4 linked regions of the Diceros bicornis minor genome follow. The protein of the gene in region 4 purifies or fractionates together with the protein of the main gene of each other region. This does not show direct contact. Links are inferred from orthologs where the notes say so. Each region holds a gene or a part of one and is shown on either strand. Other genes may lie near its edges. The genes, in order: CCP110, PNMA2, CEP97 and CEP290.

Region 1 (7,557 bases), on a different chromosome or scaffold from region 4:
TAAGATACCATAAATAGTGTTCATCTTAAAACAATTAACTAATTAACAAAAAAAAGAAAGGGTAGAGAAATTCAATTCATGATGTGAAATATGCAAAGATGAAGATACAATATGATACTGTCCTAAACCTCAAAGTACTTACAAATTCAGTACACTAAGGTGTCAGGGACAAATTATAGTGCAATTAGAAATGAAGAAAAAGCATTTTCAAAATTATGATTAGATTATGAAAAAATAAGATGTATTGCTAATTTTGACCAACAGCTAGTTTTATTAATAACAAAACTTCTTCCTACCATCTCATCCATTCTAATTATTTCTATATTAAATTTACTCCAAGTGAGAGTTTAATTTCAAAGAAATGGTTCTCTAGAGTATGAGATTATTCTGCAAACCAATATTGATAAAACAAACAAAAGTAAAAAACAAACATAACACCTTACTGCACGATAACCATAGCAAGGCCCCATTTGTCAGTCTGGATTTCAACCCACATTATATCTTAACAACCAAAATACGCAGAAGCTAAGATGTAAGAGAAATTCAAATGACCCCATTTCTGCTAAAATACTTCAAAATATTTTTTACCACAGCCCATGCATCCAGCATTACAGAGAACATAAATAGCTGACTCATACAATTAATGTAATATTCTTCGTATGGATACACAAGCAAACATGAAATTCTATTTTAAAGGTCTGAGAAATTTAAGGAAATAAAATATCTTTATGGCAATAGTTCTATTTTTCTTTCAGCAACATCATGAAGATATATGCCTCATGCTTTAGAAAGTTAAATTCATATCCCTTTAACAGTACATGTATGTCAGACGTATTGCAGATCCACAGTAAGAGATTATTATTACAGCATAATTTATAGCATATGATAATGCATTCACCACCCAAATACAAGCGCCAATAAGGTGATTACGGAAATTACCAAATGATCCCAGAGCGTGACTGGATCCTTCTTATATTTCAGTCTCAGCTTGGATGTCGCCTCCTCGGAGAGGGTGTCGCCGACGAGCCCATCTAAATTAACCCTGTGACAGTCACTATCACATTGCCCTGCTGTTTTCCAATTTTCATAGCACTTACCACTATCTGAAATTATCTTATTTCCTTGGTTTTCGCCTGTCTTCCTCCACCAAAACGTAAGCTCCATAAGCACAGGTACTTTCTCAGTCTTGCTCACCACTGAAGCCCCATCACACAGAACACTGTCAGCACACAGTCGGCATTTGATAAAAGCGCTGAATAAATGAATTAGGGTAATTAGCTCAAACAATAACGAAAACCGGGAGAAAAAAGAGAGTGGACTACATAGCAAAGAAGCTAGCAAGGAAGAAGGGAATTGAGAGAATGGAGTTTCATGGATGACCCTATTCTCAGAGAAGCCGGTACCTCTAAACTGCAAAGGCAACCGTTTAAAAAGTGAGCGTCCGTATCCTATATTAAGGCACTTCGTCTCTCACACCACAATTACCTCTGTCAGCAGGGTTTTATTTTAAGGGAGCCCCGACTACAAGGCCACGCCAAGCACAAATCTACTGCCCCATACTTTACCACCAGGCATTACTGGTCCACTTGAATTAATAATTTGTCAGCTGCATCAAGTTCAGACATGTCTCATTTCTCCATTTATACCATGACTTCTCCAAATGAGCCTCTTTGCAAACCCCGCAAACTCATGGTCCTGCTACCTGCTCCTCAGCAGTGCTCTCCCAGAGATGTCACTGAAGGGAATGGTAAAAGTAGCACAGAACAGATCTGGCCTTGTTTTCAGATCCTAGCTGGTTGTTTACCCATCAGTCTTCCCAAAGACATAAACGTCTTATAGAGGTAATAAAGGGGAAAGTTTCTTATTCAGGCCCACACTAGCTGTATGTTCTTGGCAATTCACTTACCATCTCTATGCAGTCTATACGGTCTCCTTATCTGTAAAATAGGAATAATCTGAGTATCTGTCTCAAAGAGATTCTATGAGGATTCGATGAATTAATACACGCGTGGCAATTACTATATTGCAGGACATGCAGAGAGCATCAATAAATGGGGCCGCTTTGGTTATGAAGAGGAGGAGGAGGATTTTTATCACTAGATTATGAACTCCTGGAGGGCAGCGACAGTGCTTGGTTCCTGGCAAAATTCAAATATAACTTAAAAACACGGAAAGGGGGTCAACGGCTTCCTCCCTTCGCTGTTTCCAGACCGCTCCCCATTAAATCAATCTCTAGGCGCCTGCCATTTGCCTAAACTGGGGATAGGGAACTGGAATGACAACCAGACAGAAGCAAAGGGTGGGAACCACCTAGCAGCATCAGGGGCAATCAAGAGAACTTGCTTTATTATCCTCATGTTTATGCCCCAGAGAGGCGCAGAGGCAGAGTAAACAGCGCTCCTGGGGCCTCTGGTTGTGGTCACCGGCCTTCAGAAATGTCCAGTGCTCACCCCGGGGACGCCTCCCTCGCCAGCATCGTAGAAGAAAAACGCCCCACACTGTTTGAGCAACAGGAGGTGGTCCCCGGCTCTGGCCCGAGTTTATTTACAGGGGATCCTCTGCCCCAGCGCCCCACGCCCACCTCCCCCAGCTCCTCTGGAAGGCTCCATCCCGAGGGCCCACCAGGCGGTGTCAGCATCCGAGCATCACCTCCGCGCCCGGGCACCCACCTTTCGACACCCGGCGCCCTTCCAGGGTCTCGAAGCCCGGGGGCCCAGCACCCGCGCTCGGGCTGTCCAGAGCCCGCCCTCAGCTCTCAGGGCGCCAATGCCGCCTTGCCCGTGGCCTCGGAGCCGGGACCGGCTGAGGATCGAGCCCGCTCCTCACGCACACACCTGATCTCCCACGGCCCGGGCAGGTTTTCTCCCCTCGCCCCGGGCCTTGTGAGGAAGCCAACGGCTCAATCGGTACAGACAGAGAGCAGCTCGGTCCGCCGCCGCCTTCTCCTCCTCCTCCCCGCCATATTACGGGTCTCAGGCGGCAACGCGGGCTCCTGGCAACCGCCGCCGCCGCTGCTCGGACTCCACCTCTCCCCACCGCCACTTCCGGCGGTTGCTTCCCGGGCTGTTGGAACCGTTGGGCCTCCAGAAAACTACAATCCCCGAGGTGCATTGCGCGCCTGGGTACGCGCCCTGGCCCAGTGATGAAGGGAGTAGTACTTACGGGCAGCGCGGTGCACGCTGGGAAACGTAGTCTTCACTACGAGCTGAGGCCTCTGCAGGTAAAATTTATTATATGGGAACGCCCCAGGTCTGAAGCCGCCTGAAATGTTCCTTGAAGTTGCTATTTTTCACTTATCCGTACAGATATAACCTCATTCTGTGTGGTCGTTGGAAAAGATACAACATTCACCGAAATTTTTTCTCTGTAAATAAAATATTGCTGAATCCTAGAATGCCAACTCAAAGCCTTAAGACATCCCTGACCCTTTCGCAAATCAGTGGGAAAAACGTCCAAGAAAGGTAACAGATTCAAGATGGCCCAAAAAGCCCCGAATGTTTTACCAGAGTTCTCTATCTAAACAACATGTTACCAGCTTTCCAAAATACAATGCAGCAGCCGCTTTCATTTGCTAACTCGGCTTTACCGTTTGCCTCTTTTACTGACCCTGCTTCCCGTGCCTATACTTGCATATATAAAATGAAAGTTTTAAAAGTGCCTATCACAAGGGTGGCTGTGAGGAACAACTGAGATATTCTTGCACAGTGCCTGGTGCATAAGCCCTACTATTAGCCCATAGTAGAAGGACAAGTAAGGTTACGAGGATGAGTAGCAGTGCAAAAAAAAGTCACCTGGCCTAAAACTGGAGTGGCTTGAGTCAGTCCTGACGCTGCCATTAACTGCTCAACTCTCTTCACCTCTCCTGGCCTCAGTTTCCTCATCTATAAAACGAGGGAATCATTAAAATCCCTTCCAGCTTTATAATCCGATTGTACCTGCTTTGCTATGCTCTTTCGTTCCCTCAGAATCTGAAAAATCCTTCTAAAGTCGACTGAATTCATTCACTCCTGAGATAAGACCTACCCACTGAGGCTGTTGTGAGAATAAACGAGATAACGCATAAAATATTCGCTAGCACAGAACCTGGAATACGGTAAGTGCTCTATAAATGTTGGCGTGCTCCCTAACACTATTATTTTCCCCCACGAGAGCAGGGACCGTGCAGGTCCTGTTCACTGCCGTGTCCAAGCACCTGGACTGGTGTTTGGCACATCTTGAATTGAATACATAAATAGTCTGAGCGTTGTGCTCCTTCAAGGCTCCCCGGGCAGTTTCCTCGAAGGCGGAATGAAGGGGTCACTAAGGTCCCTCCAAGTCCTGCAACCGTACAATGGGTCTTGCATCCCTCCCCTTCTCGAGTCTGAAAGCCCTGGTTGAAGGCCCCACCCCGGAATAATCCAAAACCACTTTGGAACGCGAGCCTGGGGCCGGGGCCCGCCTGCGTTGCCATGGCAGCGGCTCCGCCCCCGAGAGCTGGCGCTCCCCGGCCCTGATTGGCTGGACGGCCGGCTCCTTCTCCCGCTGCGGCCGCCGCCGCCATTGTGCGGCGCTCGGCCCCTCGGAGGGTGTCAGCTGCGGCCGGTGCCTTGAGCTCTCGCTCCCGCTTCTGGTTCTCCTGTCCGGGGAGCCCGGCGGGCCCGGGACTCCCGTCCGTGCCGGTGCGGGCGCCGGCATGTGGCTGTGGGAGGAGCAGGGGGGCCTCCTGGGCCCCTTCTCCTTCCTGCTGCTGCTGCTGCTGCTGGTGACGCGCAGCCCCTTCAATGCCTGCCTCCTGACCGGCAGCCTCTACCTCCTGCTGCGCCTCTTCAGCTTCGACCCGGTGCCCTCCCGCAGGGCCCTGCAGGTGCTCAAGCCGCGGAACCGCGTCTCCGCCATCGCCCACCGCGGCGGCGGCCACGACGCCCCCGAGAACACGCTGGCGGCCATTCGGCAGGTGAGCCCCCCACGCCTCGCGCCCCTCCGGGGAGCTGGACTTCTGCTTGTCCTTCCGCAGATTCCCCAGGCTTCGCGTGATAGCCTTCCCGGTTCCCCATTCGTCCTCAAGAAATACGTTCCTGTGGCTCTCGATCCCTCTGAAGTCTGGAAAATCTCCCGACTTCGAGTATTTATAGAACATAGCAAATACTCACATACTTACATATTTGCTATGTGCCAAGCACTGCGCAAGCGAAAGTGCAATGAAGAAATAGAGTAATGGAATGAGGGATGACTGGGGAAAGCAGTTAATGCTATTTCCAGATAGTCAGCGAAATCCTCAGAAGAAGTGACTTTTGAACTGAAACCAAGATTGCGAGAAGGAGCCGGCTGTGGATCTGGGGGAAAAGTGTTCCAGAAAAAGGGAGCAGCAAGTGCAAAGGTCCTGAGGTGGGAATGATGTTGGAATGTTCAGATAACAGAATAAGCATATGTGGCTTGACTTCAAGGAACAGAGCAAAGGCTAGTGAATGAGGTAGGAAATGTGGCCAGGTTAAGTAGAGTCTTGGTCAGTGGTTGAGTTTATTCTAAGTGGATCACATTCACAAGAGCTGTCTTTGCTTGTCCTCCAAACTAGCCAGGTCATCTCCTTATCACCTTCCCCCCAGACACACACATTCATCCTCAGACAATCCTGGCATTGGGACTCTAATCAGTTTCTGCCTCCCCTTGTCACAAGGCTCTCCTGGCAGTCTCCTGACATGAAAATGACCGTTCGCATAGTAAGAGAGCTTTTCAGTTGCCTAGCCACTTTTGCATCTGTAGAAATATATCTGATCCTCTCATTTCTTTGAGACATTTTAACATTGAATGAGTAGGAAAGCTGCTCAAACCACAGCTCTTTCTAGAATTCAACCTTCTGATTCCAAGCCTCAATGCTCTTTGTCATAGATTAGAATATGTCCTGGGATGTAAAAACTTGGACTGACTGTCATGTGTCCTGCTAGGGACAGACAGTGTTGTGTAATGAGCAAGTTACTTAAGCTGTCAGTGTCCCAGTCAAGAGTCATGACTAGGGTGTGGGAAGCGCGGCACCCTAGGGCACTTCTCACTCTAGTCCCAGCCGTGACCTCAGTTTCCCCATCCGTAAAATGGGAATAATATTGATATCCGCCTAATAGGTTGTGATTCAATGAGGTAGTCCACATAAAGTGTGTGGCCCATGATAAGACCTCCACAAATGTAAGCTCTTTAGGCCAAGAATCTAAAGATGGCTTGATTGTTTAAAATCGTTTAGGTAAAATTTAAGTGTTAAGGGAAAAATTTAAGTCTGAAGAAAGAAGGGAGTCAGGAAGGCAGCTTTAATTGAGCAGAGGGCACCTGACCGTTTATAAACCCAGTTAAACTTCTCTTATGCTTTTTCCCTTTGGTTCTTTGTGATGGAAGGGAGACAGAGCAGCTCTTCTAGCCTTCTGTTTAAAAATAAATCTAAAGATATTGAAGAGTGTATTTTACCTTCTAAACCTAAACCCAGAGAGGTTGCATGAAGTAACACAGCTAGCTACACAGGAGATAGAACTGTCATGCAAAGAAAGATGATAATTACCATAGGAAAAAAAGCACATAATTGTCGTTGGCTTCCATTTCTACTTACCTTGTGTAAATTGCCTTAAAGTATAACTCATTGTTAATTGAGCACAGAAGGTATTCATAAGTATTTACCGATGGGTATGGTAGTTTGGCTAGGAATATGTTTGAGTGAATATAAGTCATGTTAAACGAGGAAGTATGTATGTGAAATACACATACACATAGAGTGTTTCATATCCCCTCGTGTTGCAAGAGAATTATAGCTAAATTCCATTCATGCCTTGTATGCTTAGGTTGAGCATGTCTTTAATGTGTGTAATAATCATAAATAAACATCGTGCCAAGTTGATTACTGGTCTTAAGAGGAAATGAGATGTGGTAATTCACCTTGTTCGAATATCGGGTCATTATCAGTGAACTTTTTAGCTGTAATAGAATTTAGATTCTGAATACAGACTGCAGAAGACAAGGTCGCATCCTCCCGCTTGACTTCAAATTTGTAGTTTATTTCCATCAAAGTTTGTTTTTTGTCCTATTCTTCCTCCCTTTACATGTTTACAGCTCATAATTTATATCCTTAAACATTTGAAAAAAAAAAAAAGTTTTACTCCGTGAAAACTCAGGGAAGACGTTCTGACAGTGGTAGAATTTCTGATAGATTATAAAATAGATATATAAGGAAACACTTGAAAGAGGTAAGGTGTGTTCCCCCCAAAAATACTATTGTAAGACATTTCTCTAAATAAATAAAAAGATGAGTATGAAGTGTATACTAACATGTGAATTAGAATCAGGTTCATCTTTTTGCCTCTATAACTGGTAAAGAAAGTTGAATGCAGTCATAGAAGATCTGGTCTAAGAAATTAATATGGTGGTTGTTTTATAGAGCTTTTGTTTGGGGCCTTAATAAACTACACAGAAAAGACAAATAAATGAACTCATTAGTTCTAGTTCACTTGCTAAAATAGTCTCACCATTGTTACTTTTTGTGTTGTAGCCAAATAAGGATGGCCCTAATGAATAAAAGTATAATTGAACCTAATTATAGTGCCC
Region 2 (7,123 bases), on a different chromosome or scaffold from region 4:
TCCTAATGAGAGAACGGTCAGTTTTACCAGCCCTCTCCTTCCCAGGGAGCATCTGTACTCCAGTTAGGGATGGAGGTGGAGGGAGACCCGGGGAGACATTGTACTTGTGTCTATCCCACTCTGTCAGATCTCTTCTTTGCCTACAGTGACATTTTTTTTTTCTCTTGGGGACCCTCCTGCAACCTAGCTTCCCCACCGCACGCTCATCAGAAGTGCTGATTAATATCTGAGCCCCAGTTGTGGACAGGACTCAAGATTTTTCCCACATGAATAATGAAATCAGGAAATGTGGTGAGATACCTGTTTATGCGTTCCAGAATGTTCCATGAGAGTCAAGGAGCTTATTCAGCTTCTAGCACAGGAAGATGTCACCCAAGTCCACACAACAGCGTGTCTGGATCTTAGCTCCAGCCAAGCCAAGTTGCCCTGTTATACATAAATAATAGTGTATTTTTATGGCTTGATAATATCCAGTGATGAAGACTGTTAATGCACTTATTCAAAAATATGGCAATCCTTCAAAACTTAATTAAATCTACTAAATTGAGTTGCTTCATTTCTTTTAGAAATCATTCAAATATTTAAAAACAATTTAATATAGGCATAATAATATAATTTATAAAATATACTTTAATATGACATAATAATATAGGTATTACAACCTAATAGAAGTATAACAATTTAAAAAACCTCAGGGCCAAATAAACTCAGAATTATGAATTAATTCTCTTTTGCTATGTCTGGTCAGGCTTTGCAAAAGCAAAATTAAGATGTTTCTTTTGCTATGAATGGTAAGTTATTAACACGACACTTTCTTCATAGCATTTGAACTTGAACGGGTCATTTGAGGAAAAAGGAAAAGAGAGGAAGCACATCTGTGGCGAGGGGGTGGAGACTGGGTATTGTGAAAAGGGAAGAGCTCCTAACGTGTCCCAGTTACTGGTGTGGAGTGTGTGTTAGGAACCACCACCGTTCTTCCCCAGGCCTGAAAATCTCCATCAGTCCTAATGGGGTCCATATGCCACAGATGCCAACCTGCAGTTATGGCGGCAGCTGCTCCTGCTGCAGGCACATTTCCCGAGTCTTCCCGGAAGGTGCTGAAGGCGGCGCATGCCAGAGGGCCAGAGGGCAAAATGGTGGGTCACGCCCTCCCCAGCAGGCCCAGGGATCTGAGCTCGATGACTCTTCCGTACCTCACTTTCCTCTTCTTAGATACGGGATGACCCGTATGGAAATATTTGGATATGGAAAAAATGTGAAAATCTTGTATTTTCTCACATAAAGACAGGATAAGTTGGAAAAGAAACCAGACTTTCAGGTGGAAGACTTCACTGTAATTGTTGCGCCATTTAACTAGATAGTGACCTTGGGCAAAGCTCCTCAATAGCTCTACACCTCAGCTTCCTGCCCTGGAAGGAAAGCACTCTTCTCCCTGGGCTGCTTTGAGGAGGAAATGATGTAATTCACGTAGAAGCACTTTATTCAAATGCTAAGCACATCTGGTGCTAAGTCCGAAAGCCTGCCCCTGGTTCTCTCAGCCCCTCCACACGCACATTCCTCTCCTTCCCCCTTCTCCCCTTCTCATCCGGGGACTCCTGCCCACCTAGCATGGTGGGCTCCTCACCAAACTGTGAGTGGTGGTCCTCTAAATTTAACTCCATTCACCAAACTATCCCTCACAACTAGGGGGTGGGTATCCGCATTTAATGCTTCTAGGGGCAAGGGCTGACAACGGGACCGAATACTTGGTCACACTGCCCCTCGCTACGGTCCTGCGGTAAACAGCCTCTTAGCCCAAACCCACCCTGGTTACTGAGCATGCCCAGACCTCTCTCTCGAGCCGCCAAAGGATGGGCATCATTTTTGCAGGATTTTGACACTGTGGAAAGAGGGGCGGGGCTGTAATCGACCAGAGGTAGAGACTGATACACGGAAAGGACGTGGGGACGGGAGTAAGCCGTGAAGGACCCTCAGAGACCGTGTTACTGGCACAAATCAAAATACCCCCCTGGATGCCCTGTGGCTGTGGCTAGTCTATCCGTACATACACACCAAGTCCCCACACACCTTTCCCCAGGTTGGCCTCACACAATCCAAGACACTCAATCACAGCCAGCACCCCATCTCCTACCCGCCACTGGACGCGCACGCACTTACGCCTCAGGCACGCGGCGTCTGGCCACCTGGGAAACCCCGCGGCTCTGGCGCAGTGCGCAGCAGGGCGGGGTGGGGACGAGGCGGGGCGCCCGGGGCGCCGGAGAAGGACTGGAGATTTGGGGAGTGGGCTTTAATCTGCGGCTTTCCCCCACTTTGGGCGGGGGCGGGAGATACCAAATGAAGACCTTCTCCTGTGCTCTACTTGGCGCAGTGGCGCAGTTACTGGTGCATGGCGCCTGGGGCAATACATAAGTTGCCGTGCTGGACTGGACTCTGCTACACTCTCACGGACCGTAGACCTATGTCTCTCTCTATCCGCTCCCCACCGTTTGCTACGCCCCTCTGCATTTCTCCCCGCCATGCTGTGCCTCTCCCACCACCGTGGATGCACAAAGTGAGAACCTTCTCGTTTCAATCTCTGCTCCCAGCAGCCCACCAAGGGCCGTGTGTAAACTAAGGCTTTGGTGTCCAGCGCCTCGTATGGCCCCTACCTTTCTGCGCCGCCTGCGCCATCCCTTCCCCATCCTCAGTGCCGCCCCTTCCCCTCCCCCCGGGTATCCTGACGCCTGTCAGTTTGTCCCTCTTTCCCCATCCATCAGCTCACATCCTGGGTGATGAAACCCTCCCCACGGTGGGCCACAGCCCTTGGCCCATCTCCGCAATGTGGTGGGGAGAGACGCCTGGGCCGGGCAGGCGGGGAAGAGGGGCGCGGGAGCCAGGGGCTGCGCCCTCAGGTCTTCGCCGCCGCGTGCCCTGCTCCATACTTACGGTGGAGCCGGGAGCGGTCGGCGGGCCCTCCGCTCCGCATCCATTAGCCGGTGGTCTGGCCACTTCACTTCCGGAGCGCGGGGCTCCCAGCGGCGCGGCGCTCCCTCCCTCCGCTGCGCTCGGCTCCTCTCCCGGCGCCGCGCCCCGCCCCCGCCCCGCCCGCGCCTCCCTCCTCCCGCCGCTGCCGGGAACTGGCAGCCTCTCCGCTCCCGCTGCCGCAGCGGCCACCCGCCCAGACCCAACTTTGCCGCTCGCCGGAGCTCGCGCGGCGGGGGGAGGCGTGGGCAGGGAGGGGAGAAAGCGGGGTCAGGGGGAGGGACCGGGAGCGGTGGGCCGCCCGTTCGCCAGCCCTCCTTCCTTTCTGTACACCTTGCGGTAGGCGCAGAGCGGTAGCCGCGGCAGCAGCCAGGGGGTTTGTGCACAGGGAGAGGCAGACTTAGGGACCAGCAGACGGACGGACCGACAGAGAGGACCCTCCTCGAGCCCCCGCGCCATGGCCGAGAGGAAGCAATCCGGGAAGGCGGCGGAGGACGAAGAGGTCCCTGCCTTTTTTAAAAACCTGGGCTCAGGCAGCCCCAAGCCCCGGCAGAAATTCTGTGGCATGTTCTGCCCCGTGGAAGGGTCCTCGGAGAACAAGACCATCGACTTCGACTCGCTGTCGGTGGGCCGGGGCTCGGGGCAGGTGGTGGCTCAGCAGCGGGACGTCGCCCACCTGGGCCCGGACCCGCAGCCTCCGTACTCCCGGCAGGGCCGGCGCGCCGGCGGGGAGCCATCTGTTGAATCGAGCCGGAAGGTGGAGATCCGGCGGGCCTCGGGCAAGGAAGCCCTGCAGAACATCAACGACCAGGTTGGTATGGGGGGAGGGGTGTTTGAAACGGAGGACCGGGCGCGGGGGTCGCCCCTCCCTCGCCTCCTTCCAGCTCGGTGAAGAACGAGGATCTCAGCGTGCCCACCGTCCTGCCCCTCCTCGAACATTGCCTCCCCGCATCTGCACACGCACCCCACCCTACCCGCCCCTTCTCCGTGCAGGGTGCGGAGAGGCTCGGGCTCGGCGGTGGGCGGCTGTGCGCCCACAAAGGCTGCCGGCGCCTCCCCGGGCCTGGGCAGTAGCGCGTGGGGGTAAAGGATGGGCCGATCCCCGGCTAGGGGGTCGCATGGTCGGGGGGGATGGGCCGCCGTCCATTCTTAAATCCGGCCGGGCGGCTTCCGATTGCAGCTGTGGCTGGATGCCCCACCCTTTTTTGATGCAGCTCGGAGCGAGCGGCGGAGAGTTCGCGTGCAGGCCCGCGGGCTCCCCGGGGGTCGGGAGGGGCGGGGGCTTCGATGGCCGCTCCCCACCGCGCCCTGCGCGTTCACCCACCGCACCTCCTCCCGCGCCCTCCGCGCTCGCGTCCCGAGCTCAGAGGCCAGCACCATGGCCAGCGCCTCCCCGGACCGCCTCGCAGAATCGCACCACCCTTGACTCCTGTTCGCAGTGTGAGAAGAACGAGGGAGGCGGTGGAGTCACGCGAGGAAACCGAGACGCTCCTCAATAGCCATGTGGAGAACAAAGTTCGCTGAGTACCCTAGCAAGGGCTTCCCAGAGCGGTCCCCCCGCCGCTGCTGGGGAAGCACGTTGGGGATGGGGACTGAGTGGATTATGTTCAAAGGGTAAAAAGAAAAGAAAAGGGGAAAACCCCTCACATTTTGAATAGATTGTCAGAGATGGATTAGATCCCTACACTGTGTCAATGGGGGAACAAAGAAGACCGATTTGGTAAACCTTGATTTTAGAAAGTGTTGTCATCTCTCGCAAATATGTATAGTGTGCATTTTAAGTGCAGTAGTCTTCTTGCACCACGTTTTTTTTTATCAGGGTGACCTTCATACTTGTGCAATTTTTTTCACAGCCTTATTTTCTCTACTGATCAGTTACAGTGTGGAATGTTTTAACACTTGTTTGCTGTTTCTCTCCCATGCCCATTGGAGAAGATGAGAAATCAGTCAATGATTGATTATTTATTGGAGACCTATTGTGTGCCTTCCCTTGTGGGGCAGGGGGATGGTTAGCTATTAAAAGTTCAAGGTGCTTTCTTCTTAAGAGGCTTCCAGACTAGTTGGGAGTGGTCTATACATATTCACCGAGTGATTCCACAGCATTTATTTGGCATTCAGGTTGTGTGCTTACAGTGAGAACAATTATGAGTTGCTGATAATGGCCTGAGCATGTTACTGTTTCCTGATATGGCATAGAGTTTTGGAGCTTTTGACTCTTAAAGGACCAATGCTAGGAAAGATAAGACATTTGCTGTCATTTTCAAAAGGTGGGACAACACATCACTTAATTGATTCCTCCTCCCCGAGCCCTGTCCTCTGGTTTATTCATATAGGAGGGTATCTGATGTGCATGTGTCACTATGAAGCAGCCAGAAGAACCGAAGTCTAAAAACCTCGCTTTGTTCCAAGTGATCAGACAATTTAAGTAAAAGTTTCTAATAACATAACCTCATCTTCAATAAGTTGTGCTGGTAATTCAGATGTCCTCAAGGGAGGAGAAAAATGCCTTGAGATAAGGAAGAGATCATTTAAAAAAATGGCAGGTCAGGGGGCAGAAGTTGAGAGCGGCCACCCCTGTAATGATGGCAGTGAATTAAAACTCAAATTTGAAAGGCAAAATTTCACTGGGTTAAATAACACCTCTCTTTTCCTGTCCATTTAGAAGCTTAGATGCTGCTTGTTTGAACACGCCCCAGATTTATTAGAAATTCTAAATTGTAAACCTAGGGAGCATGGAGGGGGAGATTTGAAGAGGAAATACCCAACCAAAACCCTGGGCCGAATTAGCCTCCGCAAACCTACATTTGCTTCAGTTGCCAGCTTATCAGTAACAGAGAGTAATCCTGGCTTGGTCTTTCTGCAGTCCTGGATTTTCATTTTCAATTTTGCCTTAACACGTAACGGCTGTTCCTATGGGATTTTTTTCATTCATGACTAAGAACATTTACCAGGATCAGTGCTCACAGTGTTTGAATATTTCATGTCTATATGAGAGAGAAAAGGCATTTGAGGTGTGTGTGTGTGTATCAATGGTGATTTCCAAAAGCACAGCTGGGCCCACCATTTTGACTGAATTGAGTAGCCGTTACTTAGTTTTCAGCTAATGAGCGGGGTGACTGGCAGCATCTCAGTGCGTTCCTGTCAGAAGCCCTGGCACAGAGAGAGGTGGGGAGAACTAGAGTGAGTGGATCCCAGGGCCCCTGTCTCATGCCCTCCCTCCTCCCCCGAATCTGTCTTTATAGGTCTTGTTAATGTGTTGTCAGAAGTGGCTTTGCCCACCTGTCGCACTAGGGCACCTGCTGTTCCTCTAGCAAGGCTTTGAGAAAGGAGGGAACAGACTTCCTTAGCCCAGGTGCTGCATGACTTGTGGGAGGTGAGGAGAGGTTGAGTGTCTGCATTTGCAGGAACTAAGTGAAATATGCTTCTGTTGTGAGCAGGTCAGCACCAGAAAGCAATGGGCGTGGCTTTGGCTGGGATGTCAGGTTTTGGTGAAAGGAAACAGGCAGTGGTGTGATTGTGAATGAGGAAAGCTTCTATCTCATTACTCTCTTTTCCTTTGTGTCCTTGGGGAAGTCTACCTTGGGCTGCAATGAGGTTAAATTGATTATGACCTGTGAAAGACTCTGAGCCTCTTGGAATAGAGGGCAGAAGGGCAATATTGTTGGCCAAATTCTCTCTTGCCAGTGCCCAGGGCTCCCTTAGCCTCCTCCTTTCCTCTTAGGAATTCCCTGCATTCCACCTCAGACACAGTTTAGCCAGAACCAGCTGTTTAGCCAGGGATACTGGAGCATGAGCATCCCTTCCCAAGGGGCTCCTAGGCCCTTCTCCCAGCAGCAAAAGCCTCCATGGACTTGAGTGGCAGAGGAGTGATTCTCCACTTCTCCAGGGCAGGTGCCAGTGAGTGAGCTATACACCAGTCTGCTGAACTTGACAGAATCACTGGGTCTGTAAAATGCTTTCTGACATTCCCTTCCATTCTGCGTCCCCGTCTCCTCTCCCCATGTTGATAATCTCCCAGCCCTGGATGCCCAGTGACTCTGCTGCCCTCCTACTGTTCAGTGCCACTCCTATGCCATCCTGATGCTGATGCCCCTTCTAGATCCTCTTTCCTCCGAAAGCAATGAGTTCTGAAATCACTCTCTTCCCCTTTGCCCTTCCCTCT
Region 3 (7,753 bases), on a different chromosome or scaffold from region 4:
TTTAAAGAAAGCTTCATAATTTTTAATGCTGAATAATTTTTAAACCTAGTTATTTTCTAACCTAGTTACTAGACATTTCTTTCAAGCCCTCCCTGAAGTCAATGCCTGAGAGTCTTGGGATTAACTAGCCTGCTGGAAACTACAGTGGTAGATTCTAAAAAGGCAGGATCCCTCCCATACTTGAGAAGAAAATGCTACTGGAAGAAAACACTAAGAATGGTGCTTAAGTCATTCCAAAGGCATTCACATTTACACATTCCAGTCCTCATCTTACTTGAACTTTACACGGATTTTAGCACTGTCAAAACTCTTCCAAAAATTTCTGTGAAATGACTGTCATGGGTGTCTTTCATTTGACCTCATCTGCTCAGCCTCTTTCAGTCAATTCTCTCTTCCTCCATTCCCCTATCCCTTAAATATTGGTATTTCCTGATTCTTTTTTGCTGGCTCACTCTAGTCACTCTAGGGGTAGTAAAGAGAGATGCACTATCCAGATCCCTCTTCAAGCAAGGGATGCTGCCCAACAATGGCCATAGTGATCAGCAGCATGCTCCAGCTATAAGTAGGGTCTGGCTCAGAACCATCTCACTTAGGTCGTGACCTCTCTGGGACAACTCATATCTGGTGCGTAAGCAAGGTGGGAGCATAAGAGGGTTGATCATTTGGCCCAACACGGGATACTCTGACAGGCAATAATCGTTCCAGAGCTCCTGCAGGGTTGACTAAGGTTTAGTCGGGCCAGTGATGGATTTAACTTCTTCTGCCTAATACTGCTTTCTCCCTCTTCCTTTCACAGGACTTGATCCCTAGTAAGTATCTTGCACCCTAAATTCAGTCTCAGTAAGCGCTTCCAGAGAAGCAAACCTGTGACACTAGGTGTCGTTATCCCACATATTCTACCATCACCTATAGGTTCATCACTCCTAAAATATATCCCATTCCAAACACTCCTTTGAACTTGTTTAACTTCCCACTCCACACCTCCAGCTTAATGTTCTATGGGTATCTTGAACTCAGTCTTTCCAAAACTGACCCTCTCCCCCACAAACATGCTCCTTCCTCTTATCTGTCCTCTTTTGACAAATGATACATACAACCCTTCACTAAGTCCCCACTTTCAAAATTTCCTCACCTCCTGTATTATCTATTGCTATGTTAACAAACTATCCCCAAAATATAGTAGTCTAAAACAACAAACATTTATGCTCTCATAGTTTCTATGGGTTAGGAATTCAAGAGGGTTTACCTGGGTAGGAACTGGAAAAGCAAGGAACATGTTTCGCCCCAGAGCCTCTGGTGGGAGCCTGGAGACCTTGATTTCAGCCCGGTGATTCTGATTTCAGACTTCTGGCCTCCAGAACTGAAATGGAATACATGTCCAATGTTTTACGCTACCAAGTTTGTGGTAATTTGTTACAACAGCCACAGGAAACTAATACAGCAGGTGAGTATGCATAAAAGGTGAAGAATGCTCTGTTCTCAGGAGGTATATGGAGGCTGAGAAGAGTACCAACTTTGGTTCTGCATTGCTCCATAAATAAATAAAAGAAAATGGAATGCAGCCCAGCCTTGTCTCTATAAAAGAGAATGTAATGATAAAGTCAGCAAAAATTTATGGACAGTGTTGGAAACTGTGCTTTACGACACTATATAAAATGCTTTTGGGGGTTTCTGTATAATTTCTTATTCTAAAAGGGGTTGAGCACAATTTAAGGCATGATACACGCAGTGTGTTACAAAGAACCCTGAAATGCCACCTCAAGAATGCCCTCCAGGAAAGAGGAAAAGAGCTGAAATCTCTGGGACCTAGTTTCCCGCTTTCCCTCCACAGAGCTAGGCAGGCCAAACATAATTTTGAAGACCAATAAAACAAAATCTTTCTAAAAGGCTTGGGAAGGGACTATAAATTCTGGGGTTCTATGGAGCAAGCAGGACCAAATTTCTGCAGGTAAATCTTGGCTCCACCCTCTCCTCACATCCAGCTGTGCATGGGAGCCTGTACAAGACAGGACTATTCCAGAAAGATTTTGTTTTTTTAGTGATCAAACATTTGTTTAATCAGCCATTATTTGAAAGAGTTGGATGAATGTCCGAGTTGATGCCAGGAAATCCACTGCCCAAATTCAGACAATGTCTTCCAGTACACCAGCTCAACAGCTGGTCAGAGTTGGTCAGGCTGTCAAATTCCTCCTCTTTGCTTTGCTTTTCAATTCCATGCAAGTCGCTGTTAACTCATTCTTGAGACTGGTTTCAGCATAACTGTACAGCTTTCTTAACATTAATCAGTCACCTCGTTGGACGTTCCAGGTCTCTTCAACCAGCTGCCGTGGAACCCTTTTAGGGTGAGATGCTTATATGGACAGCATAAATCAATCATTACAGTTCTGTTTCCTAGTCCAGTACTCCAGCCTCCCACACATTTCAAGGGTTGCCTCTTGCCACCCCCATCATCTGCTGAAGTACCTAGCATCACAGAAGGGCTCAAGAGATTGAGGCCTTGCCCTCCCGGGGGGCCTGGACGGAGCTCCCTTTTCCAGGCCTCCGGGGGAGCTCTGCGCTTCGCGCAGCCACTGGCCCCTGGGCTCCGACAGGAGGCAGCCCGCCTCTTCCCCGGCCGGCAGTCGTGCCTCGGGGCTTACTTAGTAGCGATTCCGTAAACTGAACGAAGAAATGTAGTAAGTGCTGTAGCGTAACTCCCAGTAGAGAGAGCACCCAATGAATGTTAATTACCATCACTGCAAAGCGCCACCATGCACAATTCGATTCGCACGGCCTGGGAGACAATTCAGGTCTCACTGCCTTTTTTTGCAAATCGTAAAACTATTAAAATTTAATTTTGCTGGTTGAGAAAATGGGCCAACACAGAAGGCAAAATGTGACTTTAAGTTCCACCCGCGGGGTACCGGTCTGTGGGTCACTAACCGAGAGGAGGGCGAGTTCACGATCCCTGCAGCGGGACCACGGCTCTAGGACGTTTGGCCGCAGGAGAGAGAACGCCTCAGACACCCGCCGGCGCGGCCTGTGTGACCGTCACCCCGGAGCCTCCGCCGTCTTCGGCGAGCTCCTCCCGAGGCAGGCGGCCGCGGGGAAGACCTCGCGCGTCGCCGGCGAGAGTGACGTCATCGTCGAGCGCCGGGGCCAGCGAAGGGCATTGGGGGAGGAGATTGCCCCCACGACGTTATAAGGTCCCTTCCCATGATCCTCTCTTTCTCTTCGCCATTTTTCCTTCTTCCCGGCGGCTGCAGCCATGAAGTAAGGGGGAGTCCTGGATCCTATCCGCCTCCATCTTCGGGCAGCGCGCCTCTTCGGCGTCCCGGGCATGGCCTCTCCTTGCCGTGGCCACCCTCCCTAATGGGCTTTCGCTTTTCGTTCCAGGGTCGAGCTGTGCAGCTTCAGCGGCTACAAGATCTACCCCGGACACGGGCGGCGCTACGCCAGGACGGACGGGAAGGTGAGAGGCCGCGTCGGCTCCACGCCGCGCGTAATGCTGAGGGGGGAGAGCGGGCCACTTCGTCTAGGCGGGTCCATTTCTCTCGTCGCTCTTGTCTCTGGAAGCCTTGCTTCGGGGCCCCTGCGTGCAGTGGTCGTGAGGACCGGAAGCCTTTAAGTGAACCATTCTTGAGCCTTGATGTGGTGTGAGTCAGGTCCGCATTGCGGAGTGTAACTTCAGTGGCCCGGGATAAGGGAGGTGGGCCACCGAGGTGTCTGGCCACTTAACGGGCCCAGGTCCTGCTGGAATCCCGGGAGAGACGGAAGCTAGACGCCTCCCAGGATTTGCCGCCGCGCCCCCCCGCCCGCGGTACGGGCTGAGGTCAGCCTGCCTGCTCGCGAGAGACGACGGGACCAAACGCGGAGACCTTCGTGGTGCCGCTCAGTCACCTGCCACTTGGTGACACAAACCCTTCGGTCCCGGTGGCCTGAATTTCGTAAAAAGAGACGATAGCGCTAGAATACTAATTCGCTAAGGATTTCAAGTTCAGTCTCTCGTGCTTTGTATAGTTGAGTAACTACTTTGAACTTGTCACGACAGGTTTTCCAGTTTCTTAATGCAAAATGCGAGTCGGCATTCCTTTCCAAGAGGAATCCTCGGCAGATAAACTGGACTGTCCTCTACAGAAGGAAGCACAAAAAGGGGCAGTCGGTAAGTGAAGTGCACTTTGCCGTTGAGGGGCTATCCCTTAAGTTGTTTAACTTCTGAGCATCAGTTGCTGCTCCGTAAAATTGTGATTAAATGAGACAGTACGTGAAGGTGCTCTTAGGCCGTAGAGCATTGAACACGAAGTGAAAATGATTGATCCAGGGTTTCCTTATGCATCTTAGGGCCACAGTAAAGAGAGTTGAGATTTGGAAGCATCCCCTTGCTGGAGTCAGACATTACATTAAGCACCGTTGGGTTATAGAGCACCATGGAAGTGTTCAAGGTGTTACAGGGGGTGGAAACTAAGTAGTTATTTATGGTTTTGATCATAATGTTTATAGGATTAGTCCTAACAGATATCAGTGGAGTCTTCCAGCATACCACTTCGTTCTCAAGAAGACTGGATGTGTTTTTTGAAGTGCTCTTTTAGCTTGGTGAAGGAGATTTTTGAAGAAAGATTTGAGTGCCATGACACTCAAGTATTCAGGAAACTTGGAATGTTTAGTGAGCACCTCCTGGGCGAAAGACATTACTAGATATTGTTAGAGTTCAGAAAAAGGAGAAATTTATTTCTAATTTAATTAAAAAGTGGACTTGACACACCCATTAGGATGGCCATTAAGTGGGGGAAATGACAAGTATTGGTGAAGATATGGAGAAATTAGAACCCTTGTGCATTGCTGCATGTAAGATGGTGCAGGCACAGAGGAAAATGGCTTGGCGTCTCAAAAAGTTAAACAGAATTATCATCATATGATCCAGCAATTCCACTTCTTGGTATACATCCAAGAGAATTATAAGCAGGGACTCACAGATAACTTGTACACTGATGTTCATAGCACTATTATTCACAGTAGCCAAGAGGTGAGAACAACCCAAACGTCCCATCAGTGGATGGCTAACAAAATGCGGTATATACATACAGTGGAACATTATCCAGCCTTAGAAAGCTGACAGCCAGCCAGCATGGATGAACTCTGAAGACATTATGCTAAGTGAAATAAGCCAGATAGAAAAGGACATATTGTGTGATTTCATTTTTGTGAAGTACCTAGAGTAGGCAAGTTCCTAAAGACAAAGTAGAGGTTACTAGGGGCTGGGGGGAGGGAGGAATGGGAAGCTAATATTTAATAGGTGCAGAGAGTTTGGGATGATGAAAAAGTTCTGGAGGTGGATAATGGTGGTGGTTGCACAACATTGTGAATGTACTTAATGCCACTGAGTTATACATTTAAAAATGCTTTAAAATGGTCAACTTATGTATATTTTACCACAATAAGAAAAATACTTTAAAAATGGATTTAAGATAAGAAAAACTAACAGGTAAATATTGGCATTTCCTACAATAAGATTTCATCTTGGTAAAAAATTTAAAACAAGCATTTTAATCACAAATGTCCTGTTTTATCCATATATTGTTAAAAAATTTTTAAGATATTTGGCATATCCCTGCCTTAATAAACAGTTCTTCAAGTATATTTTAATTTTTCTTGGACTTAGAGGTGCACTGCAGGATCTTGTTTATTGTTAAGCACTGTGGTATAGATTTCCAATATAGAATCTGCAGCAAATGTTTGAATTGTTCTCTGTCTTGATTCCCGGACATTCTCTAACACTTGGTGGCTTTCCTGTCATAAATCATTTTCTAACTTGACTAATTCTCCCAGTGACAGTACTTTGAATAAAAACAAATTATGTGAGTTGAGGTTTGATAATTTTTTTCCAAAAGTAAATTCTTTAACGTAAACAGTCTTATTAAAATCTCTTTTCAAGTACTGTCCAGTTAACTTCCTTAAACTTTTTGTGTTTTTAAAATAGTAAAAAATGGCCAGAATTTGTAATAGATGATTTAACCAGTCCATAATTGGAAAACTTATCTGCGTATTGTGGTATTTTACATATGGATATATCTTTATATAGTTATTTCATTTCAAATAATTGCATGAATTATTTCTGGTTGAATATTATTATGGTCTGAATGTCCCCCCCCCCCCCAATTAATATGTTAAAACTTAACCCCCAAGGTGATGGTATTGGGAGGTGTGGGACTTTTGGGAGGTGATGAAGTCAGAGGAACGAGCCCTCAGGAATGGGGTTAATGCCCTGATAAAAAGAAGCCACAGAGAGAGCTCTCTTGCAAACTTTGGACATGTGATGATACAGCTACGATGGGAAGAGGGTCCTCACCTGACCATGCTGGTATCTTGACTTCCAGCCTCCAGAACTGAGAAATAAATTTCTGTTTACAAGCTGTTCAGCCTGGTATTTTGTTATAGCAGCCTAACAGAGTAAGACAAATGTGGATCTTAAAAGACTCATTTCCCCTGCCTTAAAGACTTAATTCCTCCCCCAAATTCATGAAGCAGTGTTCATAAGTGTGCTTCCCATCTATTTGTTTTGTAGGAAGAAATTCAAAAGAAAAGAACCCGCCGTGCAGTCAAATTCCAGAGGGCCATCACTGGTGCATCTCTTGCTGATATAATGGCCAAGAGGAATCAGAAACCTGAAGTTAGGAAGGCTCAACGAGAACAAGCTATCAGGTGAGGAAGCCTTCATTATGAGCATTTCAGCTCTTGGGGTGGATTTTAGATTATGTTTGGGTTTATAGACACAGAAATCCAATCTGATGTTATTTTGTGGTTTTGGTACTTAGATCTATATAGGGATTGTCAGTCATAAATATTTAGGTCTAATAATACAGAAGTTTATAATACAGTCTAAACTAAATGATTTGTTAAAATTCTATATGCAGTTAAAGCTATTATACAATTTTTAATGTATGTTAAGCTGACTCAGGGGTCAATGCCATTTATTGACAAACCCTTTGGCTTTATCCTATAAATTATTGGAGATGGGGAAGGAATATGATAATTTTACTTTCCCAAAACACTCTAGCTCTTTTTTAATAGGTTGTACCCTTAAGGAGTAAAGTGCTTTGTCTTAAGTTATTTTTAACCCCCCAGGGCTGCCAAGGAAGCAAAAAAGGCTAAACAAGCATCTAAAAAGACAGCAATGGCTGCTGCTAAGGTAATTGTGGGCTTGTCTTGGATTTCTTATTTAAAACAAAAGGAAAATTTATTTTTAATCCCAATTATAGTAAATGAAAGTTTCAAGTTTTTAAAGAATTTAGTGCAAATGGAAATAATGTTCATAACTGGTTTCTGGGTAAGTGATTCAGATCTCCAGAGAGCTCCCTCTACCAGAGTCAAATGAGGCTGTTAGTGTTAGAAATTGGGAAAGGGGAAAGTAAAAGTGGCTTTTGTTTTTTAAAGTTTATTTTGAGATAATTTTAGATTTACAGAAAGCTTTTCAGTAACAGTGCAGAGTTTACCCAGCTTTTCTCAATGTTATCAATTGAGATAACCATAGTAAAATTTTCAAAACCAGAAAATTAACATTGGTCCTATACAACTAATAAAATCGATGTCCTTTTTCTGTTCTTAGGATACAATTCAGGATCCTACGTTGCATTTAGTTGTGTCTCCTTAACTCCTCCAATCTGTGACAATATCTTTGTCTTTCATTTATATTTTATATAAAGGTGGACTTGTAATTTTTAGGGGGTTCTTAAGAATAATAGGAATGTAGTTAAATAATCAGGAAAGCAATCTAGGA
Region 4 (7,120 bases):
TGTTGGCCATCTGTATATCTTCTTTGGAGAAATGTCTGTTCCGGTCTTTTGCCCATTTTTTAATCGGGTTGTTAGTTTTTTTGTTGTTGAGATGCATGAGTTCTTTATATATTTTGGAGATTAACCCCTTATCTGATGTATGGTTTGCAAGTATCTTCTCCCAATTGTTAGGTTGTCTTTTCGTTTAGTTGATGGTTTCTTTTGCTGTGCAGAAGCTTTCTAGTTTGATGTAGTCCCATTTATTTATTTTTTCTATAGTTTCTCTTGCCCAGTCAGACATGGTGCTTGAAAATATGTTGCTAAGACCAATGTCCAAGAGCGTACTGCCTATGTTTTCTTCTAGAAGTTTCATAGTTTCAGGTCTTACATTTAAGTCTTTAATCCATTTTGAGTTAATTTTTGTGTATGGTGTAAGGTAACGGTCTACTTTCATTTTTTTGCATGTGGCTATCCAGTTTTCCCAACACCATTTGTTGAAGAGACTTTTTTTTCTCCATTGTATGTTCTTGGCTCCTTTGTCAAAGATTAGCTGTCCATAGATGTGTGGGTTTATTTCTGGGCTTTCAATTCTATTCCATTGATCTGTGTGTCTGTTTTTGTGCCAGTACCATGCTGTTTCGGTTACTATAGCTTTGTAGTATATCTTGAAATCAGGGAGTGTGATACCTCCAGCTTTGTTCTTTTTTCTCAGGATTCCTTTAGCTATTCAGGGTCTTTTGTTGTTCCATATAAATTTTAGGATTCTTTGTTCTATTTCTGTGAAAAATGTTGTTGGAACTTTGATAGGGATTGCGTTGAATCTATAGATTGCTTTAGGAAGTATGGACATCTTAACTACGTTAATTCTTCCAATCCGAGAGCACGGAATATCTTTCCATTTGTGTCTTTTTCAATTTCTTTCAGCAATGTTTTATAATTTTTGGTGTACAGATCTTCCATCTCTTTGGTTAAATTTATTCCCAGGTATTTTATTCATTTTGTTGCAATTGTAAATAGGACTGTATTCTTAATTTCTCTTTCTGCTACTTCGTTGTTAGTGTATAGAAATGCAACTGATTTTTGTATGTTGATTTTGTATCCTGCAACTTTACCGTAGAATATGATAATATTTAATATACATAGCAAGACCGAAGAACAAGCACTTTACAGGCATGCAGGTGCCCTGCATGCCTGAGGCGGCAGTATAGCAGTTAAGAACATGGCCTCTAGCCAGAAAGATCCGTGTTCAAACACACTCTTTAAGCTTGAGGAGAGTATTTAAACTCTCCAAGCCTCAGTTTGTTAACTTCACTGGAAAATGAGGACATTATTAGCACCTATTTCATTGTATTGTTATGAAGAGCAAATGAAACAATGACAAAGCTGTAGTAATCAAAATAGTATAGTACTGGCATAAAAACAAACACATAGAACAATGGAACAGAAGAGAGAGCCTAGAAACAAACAAAGGAACCAAGAATATACAACAGGGAAAGGATAGTCTTTTTAATAAATGATGTTGGGAAAACTGAAGAGCCATCTGCAAAAGAATGAAATTGGACCCTATCTTACACTACTCACAAAAATCAACTCAAAATGGATTAAAGACTTGAATGTAAAACCTGAAACCATAAAACTCCTAGAAGAAAACATAGGCAGTAAGCTCCTTGACATCAGTCTTGACTACACCAAACTAAAAAGTTTCTGCACAGCAAAAGAAATCCAACAAAAGGAAAAGACAACTTATGGAATGGGAAAAAACATTTGCAAAAATATACTTGTTAAGGGATTAATATCCCAAATATATAAAGAACTCATACAGCTTAATAGCAAAAAAAACAATCTTATTAAAAAGTCGGTAGAGGAACTTCTTCCAAAGACATACAGGCCAACAGGTACATGAAAAGGTGCTCAACATCATGAGCAACTAATCATCAGGAAAATGCAAACGAAAACTACAATGAGATGTCACCTCACACCTGTTAGAATGGCTGTCTTCAAAAAGACAAGAGATGACAGGTCTTGGCAAGGATGTGGAGAAAAGGGAACCCTTGTGCACTGCTGGTGGGAATGTAAGTTGGTAGACCAACTATGGAAAATAGTACAGAGGTTTCTCAAAAAATTAAAAACAGAACTACCATATTATCCAGCAACTCCACTTCCGTGTATACAGCCAAGGAAACAAAATCACTATCCGGAAGAGATATCTGCACCTTCATATTTATTGCAGCATTATTTACACTAGCCAAGCCATGGAAACAACCCAAGTGTCCACCAGAGGACAAACAAATCAAGAAAATGTGGTATATATACACAATGGAATGCTAGTCATAAAAAAGGAAATCTTGCCATTTTCCACAACATGGATGGACCTTGAGGGCATTACGCTAAGTGAAATAAGTCAACAGAGAAAGAAAATACTGTATGATCTCACTTATATGTGTAATCTAAAAAAACCAAGCTCACAGAAACAAAGAACTTATTGGTCAAAAGGCACAAACTTCCATAGGCCAGCCCAGTCGCATAGTGATTAAGTTCTCACACTCCACTTCGGCAGCCCAGGGTTCCTGGGTTTGGACCTACACACCACTCATCAAGCCATGTTGTGGCGGCGTTCCACATACAAAATAGAGAAAGATTGTCACAGATGTTTGCTCAGGGACAATCTTCCTCAAGCAAAAAGAGGAACAATGGCAACAGATGTTAGCTCAGGACCAATCTTCCTCACCAAAAAGAATAAAAAAAAAAACGGTACGAACTTCCAATCATATGATTAAGTTCTGGGGATATAATTACACCATGGTTAAAAAAAACGATAATGAATAGTACTGGGCATATTATCTTTCAGTAATGATTAGACAAAATTATCATTCCTACAAATCTGATGAATGTCTAAATATATCTCACAACATCAGTACCTGTTTTTATTTTCTATTGAGGTATTCCTACTGAGCTGTTACCCAAACATGTGGTTTGGAAAGAAATCTAGTATTTATTTTCAAAAGGAAAATTTATTATCAATTATAGTAAAAAAAAAAAAAAAAAGATAAAGATGAGAGGCACTGGTCCAAACAGTTGAAAATGTCATTTAGATTTCAAGTCTATAGCTTAAGTTACCTAGCGGCGTATCATACTCCAGAATGAGAGCAGTGGGATAAGCAAAACTTGCACAAATAAGAGCTGTAAACACCTGAGAAGGCGCTTTCATAGAAGAGCACCCTCGGTAACCAAGCAAGTGACAGCTGCAGGACTGGTGGGTACTGAAGCCCCTTCTCTCTCCACCCCCAGCAGTGGCCCCGACAAGTTCTAACCTCTCCTCTCTAGAGCCTTCACTCTAGACACACAGCTCCTCAACCTTCAAGTCCTTCCACCCGCGACGGTGATGGCGCTACAGGCAAGGCGGGCGGGGTCGGAGGATGCACTGCCCTCCTCTCAATTCCTCACTCGCCCCCAAACTATGATCTCGGCCGCGCGGCCCCCACTCCACTGTACACAGACAGGTTCTGATACCAAAGAGGGGTAAAACTTTTCTGTCTTCTTACAGAGGACACCCCCCGGGGCGTCGCTTGCAAAGGCCTAAGCAGAAGGCGGGGTCTTCCCACCTCTCCATTCTCGGGCCAGGCCCTTCCGCCCCGATGGCGGGAGCGTCTCCAAATCAGGACCGCTCCCCTCAACTCCTCCCCCGCCGCTGACCGACAGCTCGACCTCACCTGGGAGCGGCTCCACGAGAGGACGGCTCAGGGAAACCTCAAGAAGAGCGGTCCAGAGAACGACGCCACCGCAGGCACACTCATGGTCTACCTCGTTCACAGCAGACGCGCCTCAGCCACCGCGCCTCCGCCACCGCGCCTCCCGCCGCCGGCTGGTTCCCCCGCCGCCCCGGTACGGTCGCAGCCTCTCGCATTGCACGCCGGGAACGGCCTACCTCCACTTCTCATTGACTTCAGTTCCCAGGATGCACAAGCCTCCAAGCAGAACTGCACTCTGGGATTTGGAGTCCTCATCCCCAAGACTTCTCCTTGTCCTTTTCACAGAGTCCGGGAAACCCGCTGGGGAATCTAAACGTAAAGCATCACCCATAGTCGTGAAATGTAGGCTCCCTGGCATCCGGGGCCTTGTTCCAGCCTTGGCTGGGTGGGGAATGGTGTCGCCTAGCAGCCGCCGCCGCTATTCCTCGCTCAGGACCAGTTGGCGGGAGCCAGTGTCCGGTTGGCACTGCGCTGGGGAGCGGTCAGGCGTGGCGGCGGGGCCGTGCTTGGTGGGTGCGGTAGATGAAGGGCCGCCTCTGGTTGCCAGGTTTGGCTTAGGTGCCTGGATCCTAGTGAGCATGAGCAGCGGCTGTCTTCTTACGCGGGTTCTTTAAGCTTCAGGGCCCATCTGCAGCAAAGCCCCGCTTCCCCGCCTCTTAGCCTTTTTGGTCAGCAATCCATCTGCCTTCTCCTCGCTTCAGCCCTGGTTTCCCCGGCCCAATTGCACTCATTTCAATCGTTTATTTCCTCACTTTTTTACGCCCAGTTCCTGCTTCTCCGAATCAGGGGTCGGTTTCAGCCTGCCGAGCACCTCCGCGGTTGGCACCATTAGATGTTCGCGTGCCTTGGTGGTAAGGGGGCATGAAGGAGGGGACTCAGAATCTTAGTTCTGACCAAGATTAGTTTTAACAAAGAAGCCGTCGTAGTTTGTTTAGCCGATACAATATCTGATGGTTTGTGCCAACTGCTATACTTGTGATCAAGGTTATTTTACCCGCTTATCTGTTATACAATTAAGGAGGCATAGCTCTTTGCTGACACCATAGAGAGTTAGAACAATGTAATGTGTAAAAACTGTAAATTGCTGTGAAAACATTAATGCTGTTTACCTTGAAAATGCTAATACCCACCTACCTTGTTACCGCAGGTAAAGCACAGTGAAAGAATTCAAGATGCCACCTAATATAAACTGGAAAGAAATAATAAAAGTTGATCCAGATGACCTGCCTCGTCAAGAAGAATTGGCAGATAATTTATTGATTTCCTTATCCAAGGTGCTTAATTGATAAATAATATGTAAATATATACATACAACTATGATTCATCCAAGTTGTCCCTTTAATCACTGAGTGGTACAATTGGAAGAGTTCTTATATTTTGCTTAAGTGTTATAAATATATAATAGTTGTTTTTCTGTTTACTTAGGTGGAAGTAAATGAGCTAAAAAAAGAAAGTCAAGAAAATGTGATACACCTTTTCAGAATTACTCAGTCACTAATGAAGGTTTGTATGCAGTAGGTTTTAATAACAGCTTTGACTATTAGAGAAGGTTTAAGAATCTGTTACTTACTTAAGTAACTTAAGTAAGTTAATTTCTATAAAAGTACTTTGTAATATCTAAATCACCACTAAAAAATGAGGTATTTTCAAATGTGGATTGAGAATTTTAGTGTGCAAAACATGGCTAGTTTCTGCTCTAAAGTTCCTAAAAGAATATGTGAGGGAAACAGATGGATATGTTTAAAAATAACATAGGGAGGTCCTATGTTAATTAAGTTAACATAATCCTGAGGTAGAAGTGAAAAATGCAGACGATTATTATAGGGATTTATTAGGAGGGGAAGAGATTTAGATGTGAGAAGACCTCATGAAGGTTAAAGACTGATGAGTAGTTTTAGGTAAGTGGAAAGCAGTGGTAAAATATTAAGGAGATTCTAGAGCTGGAGGTTACCATAAATAAAAACTGGAAATAGAAAATGTGTATTCTTTCCATTTGAGGAGACAAGTGCAGACACTTTGTGGCAGGCTGTAGAGGAAACAAATGTTGCCTCTACGGAGGCTGTCAAAGGCCTTGCAGGTGTATTTTACGCTGTCAGCAATGAGGAGCCATTACAAGTTTTTGAGCCACGCTTGATAGGTACAAAAATATGCCTTGGGAAGGCTAAACTAGGTATGGTAAACTAAACTATGGAGGGTAAACTAGGCTAAATAGGACAAATTGAAGGAAATTAAAGCTGTTTAGCCATAATGTTATAAAGGAGGTTAGACAAAAAATTATGGACTAGAAGAATCACAAGTAGAATAGAAAAAAAGGGATAGTGGAAAACATTACAAAGAGCAAAGTGGCAATACTGGATATAAGACTTGAGGGAAAAAGAAGAATCAAAGATGTTTCAAACTGTTAGGAATCTAAAAATTATAGCCTTAAGTAAGAAAATCATCTATTCATTCAACAGCTATTTACTGAATGTCTGTGTATGCCCGGCATTCTGAGCGCTAAGTTTTGGGATAGCAAATAAAATCCTGTTTTGGGTGCTTACATTCTAGTGTAAAGGCGTATTGAAATAAATTTTGTGTTTTTAATGTTTAGATGAAAGCTCAAGAAGTAGAGCTGGCTTTGGAAGAGGTTGAAAAAGCTGGAGAAGAGCAAGCAAAATTTGGTAAGTGCTATGGAAAGTTAATTATGATGCTAAATAGTGGATTCCATTTGTTCTCTAAGCAACAGAGAATTAGCTTTAATACATTCTATAAAATGTGTAGACTCAATTTATTTTGAAAGATATTCTAGAACTCCTATTCCATAGATCAGGTATAAGATAGTTATTTTCTCTTCTATTACCTTATTATTACAATCATGATGGAATCTTTAAAAAGAATTTATTTTATTATTTTATTGAAATTTATTTAGAAGTTTGTCTTGAGATAAATTGACCAATTGAAACATTTGTCTTTTTTTAATAGAAAATCAATTAAAAACTAAAGTAATGAAACTGGAAAATGAACTAGAGGTATGTCCTTTTGTATTCCCTAGGGTGTAGTTGTTCATTTTATTATTTTGAATTATTATTTTCAAATTTTTCTATTATTATTATTGGAATAATCACAAGAATGATACTGTGTTCATAATTATTTGTTTGTTCAGTATATATTTTACCTGTCTGTTATGTACCTTAAATTCTACTAAGGATTGAGCATCCAATTGTGAACAAAATGAAAACATTCAATAACCTCATGGAGCTTACAGTCTAGAGAGATACACAGAAGGATTACTAGTAACTGAGGTAGAATGAGGCATGTGGGAATTTGAGGAATGGTGACAGAAGGGTATGGGAGAAGTAGCAGCTTTTGAGAAAGCTAAGAGCCAAAATATAAATGTATTGTTAGGGAACTGA

Evidence for each region.
Region 1: the proteins of CEP290 (region 4) and CCP110 purify together in Homo sapiens (co-immunoprecipitation; 6 studies listed by BioGRID and IntAct, with this or other methods). This does not show direct contact. The link is inferred for Diceros bicornis minor from reciprocal best matches to the Homo sapiens genes CEP290 and CCP110.
Region 2: the proteins of CEP290 (region 4) and PNMA2 purify together in Homo sapiens (co-immunoprecipitation; 3 studies listed by BioGRID and IntAct, with this or other methods). This does not show direct contact. The link is inferred for Diceros bicornis minor from reciprocal best matches to the Homo sapiens genes CEP290 and PNMA2.
Region 3: the proteins of CEP290 (region 4) and CEP97 purify together in Homo sapiens (co-immunoprecipitation; 4 studies listed by BioGRID and IntAct, with this or other methods). This does not show direct contact. The link is inferred for Diceros bicornis minor from reciprocal best matches to the Homo sapiens genes CEP290 and CEP97.

What each region holds. Positions count from the first base shown.
Region 1 is NC_080765.1:32,861,366-32,868,922, forward strand, and holds the start of CCP110 (centriolar coiled-coil protein of 110 kDa), read right to left. Parts: upstream 3,017-7,557; 5' UTR 2,835-3,016; intron 1,938-2,834; 5' UTR 1,907-1,937; intron 1,253-1,906; 5' UTR 1,098-1,252; intron 1,088-1,097; exon of another isoform or gene 940-1,087; intron 1-939. Other genes in the region: GDE1 (glycerophosphodiester phosphodiesterase 1), read left to right, coding at 4,673-4,933.
Region 2 is NC_080750.1:67,421,726-67,428,848, reverse strand, and holds the start of PNMA2 (paraneoplastic antigen Ma2), read right to left. Parts: upstream 3,008-7,123; 5' UTR 2,926-3,007; intron 1,092-2,925; exon of another isoform or gene 1,036-1,091; intron 427-1,035; 5' UTR 301-426; intron 3-300; 5' UTR 1-2. Other genes in the region: DPYSL2 (dihydropyrimidinase-related protein 2), read left to right, coding at 3,419-3,772.
Region 3 is NC_080754.1:6,188,897-6,196,649, reverse strand, and holds the start of CEP97 (centrosomal protein of 97 kDa), read right to left. Parts: upstream 3,006-7,753; 5' UTR 2,923-3,005; intron 1-2,922. Other genes in the region: RPL24 (large ribosomal subunit protein eL24), read left to right, coding at 3,248-3,252, 3,376-3,451, 4,031-4,141, 6,542-6,678, 7,102-7,165. UniProt on the Homo sapiens protein: Acts as a key negative regulator of ciliogenesis in collaboration with CCP110 by capping the mother centriole thereby preventing cilia formation. Required for recruitment of CCP110 to the centrosome.
Region 4 is NC_080764.1:32,999,019-33,006,138, forward strand, and holds the start of CEP290 (centrosomal protein of 290 kDa), read left to right. Parts: upstream 1-4,105; 5' UTR 4,106-4,579; intron 4,580-4,875; 5' UTR 4,876-4,900; coding exon 4,901-5,002; intron 5,003-5,153; coding exon 5,154-5,231; intron 5,232-6,318; coding exon 6,319-6,388; intron 6,389-6,689; coding exon 6,690-6,736; intron 6,737-7,120. UniProt on the Homo sapiens protein: Involved in early and late steps in cilia formation. Its association with CCP110 is required for inhibition of primary cilia formation by CCP110.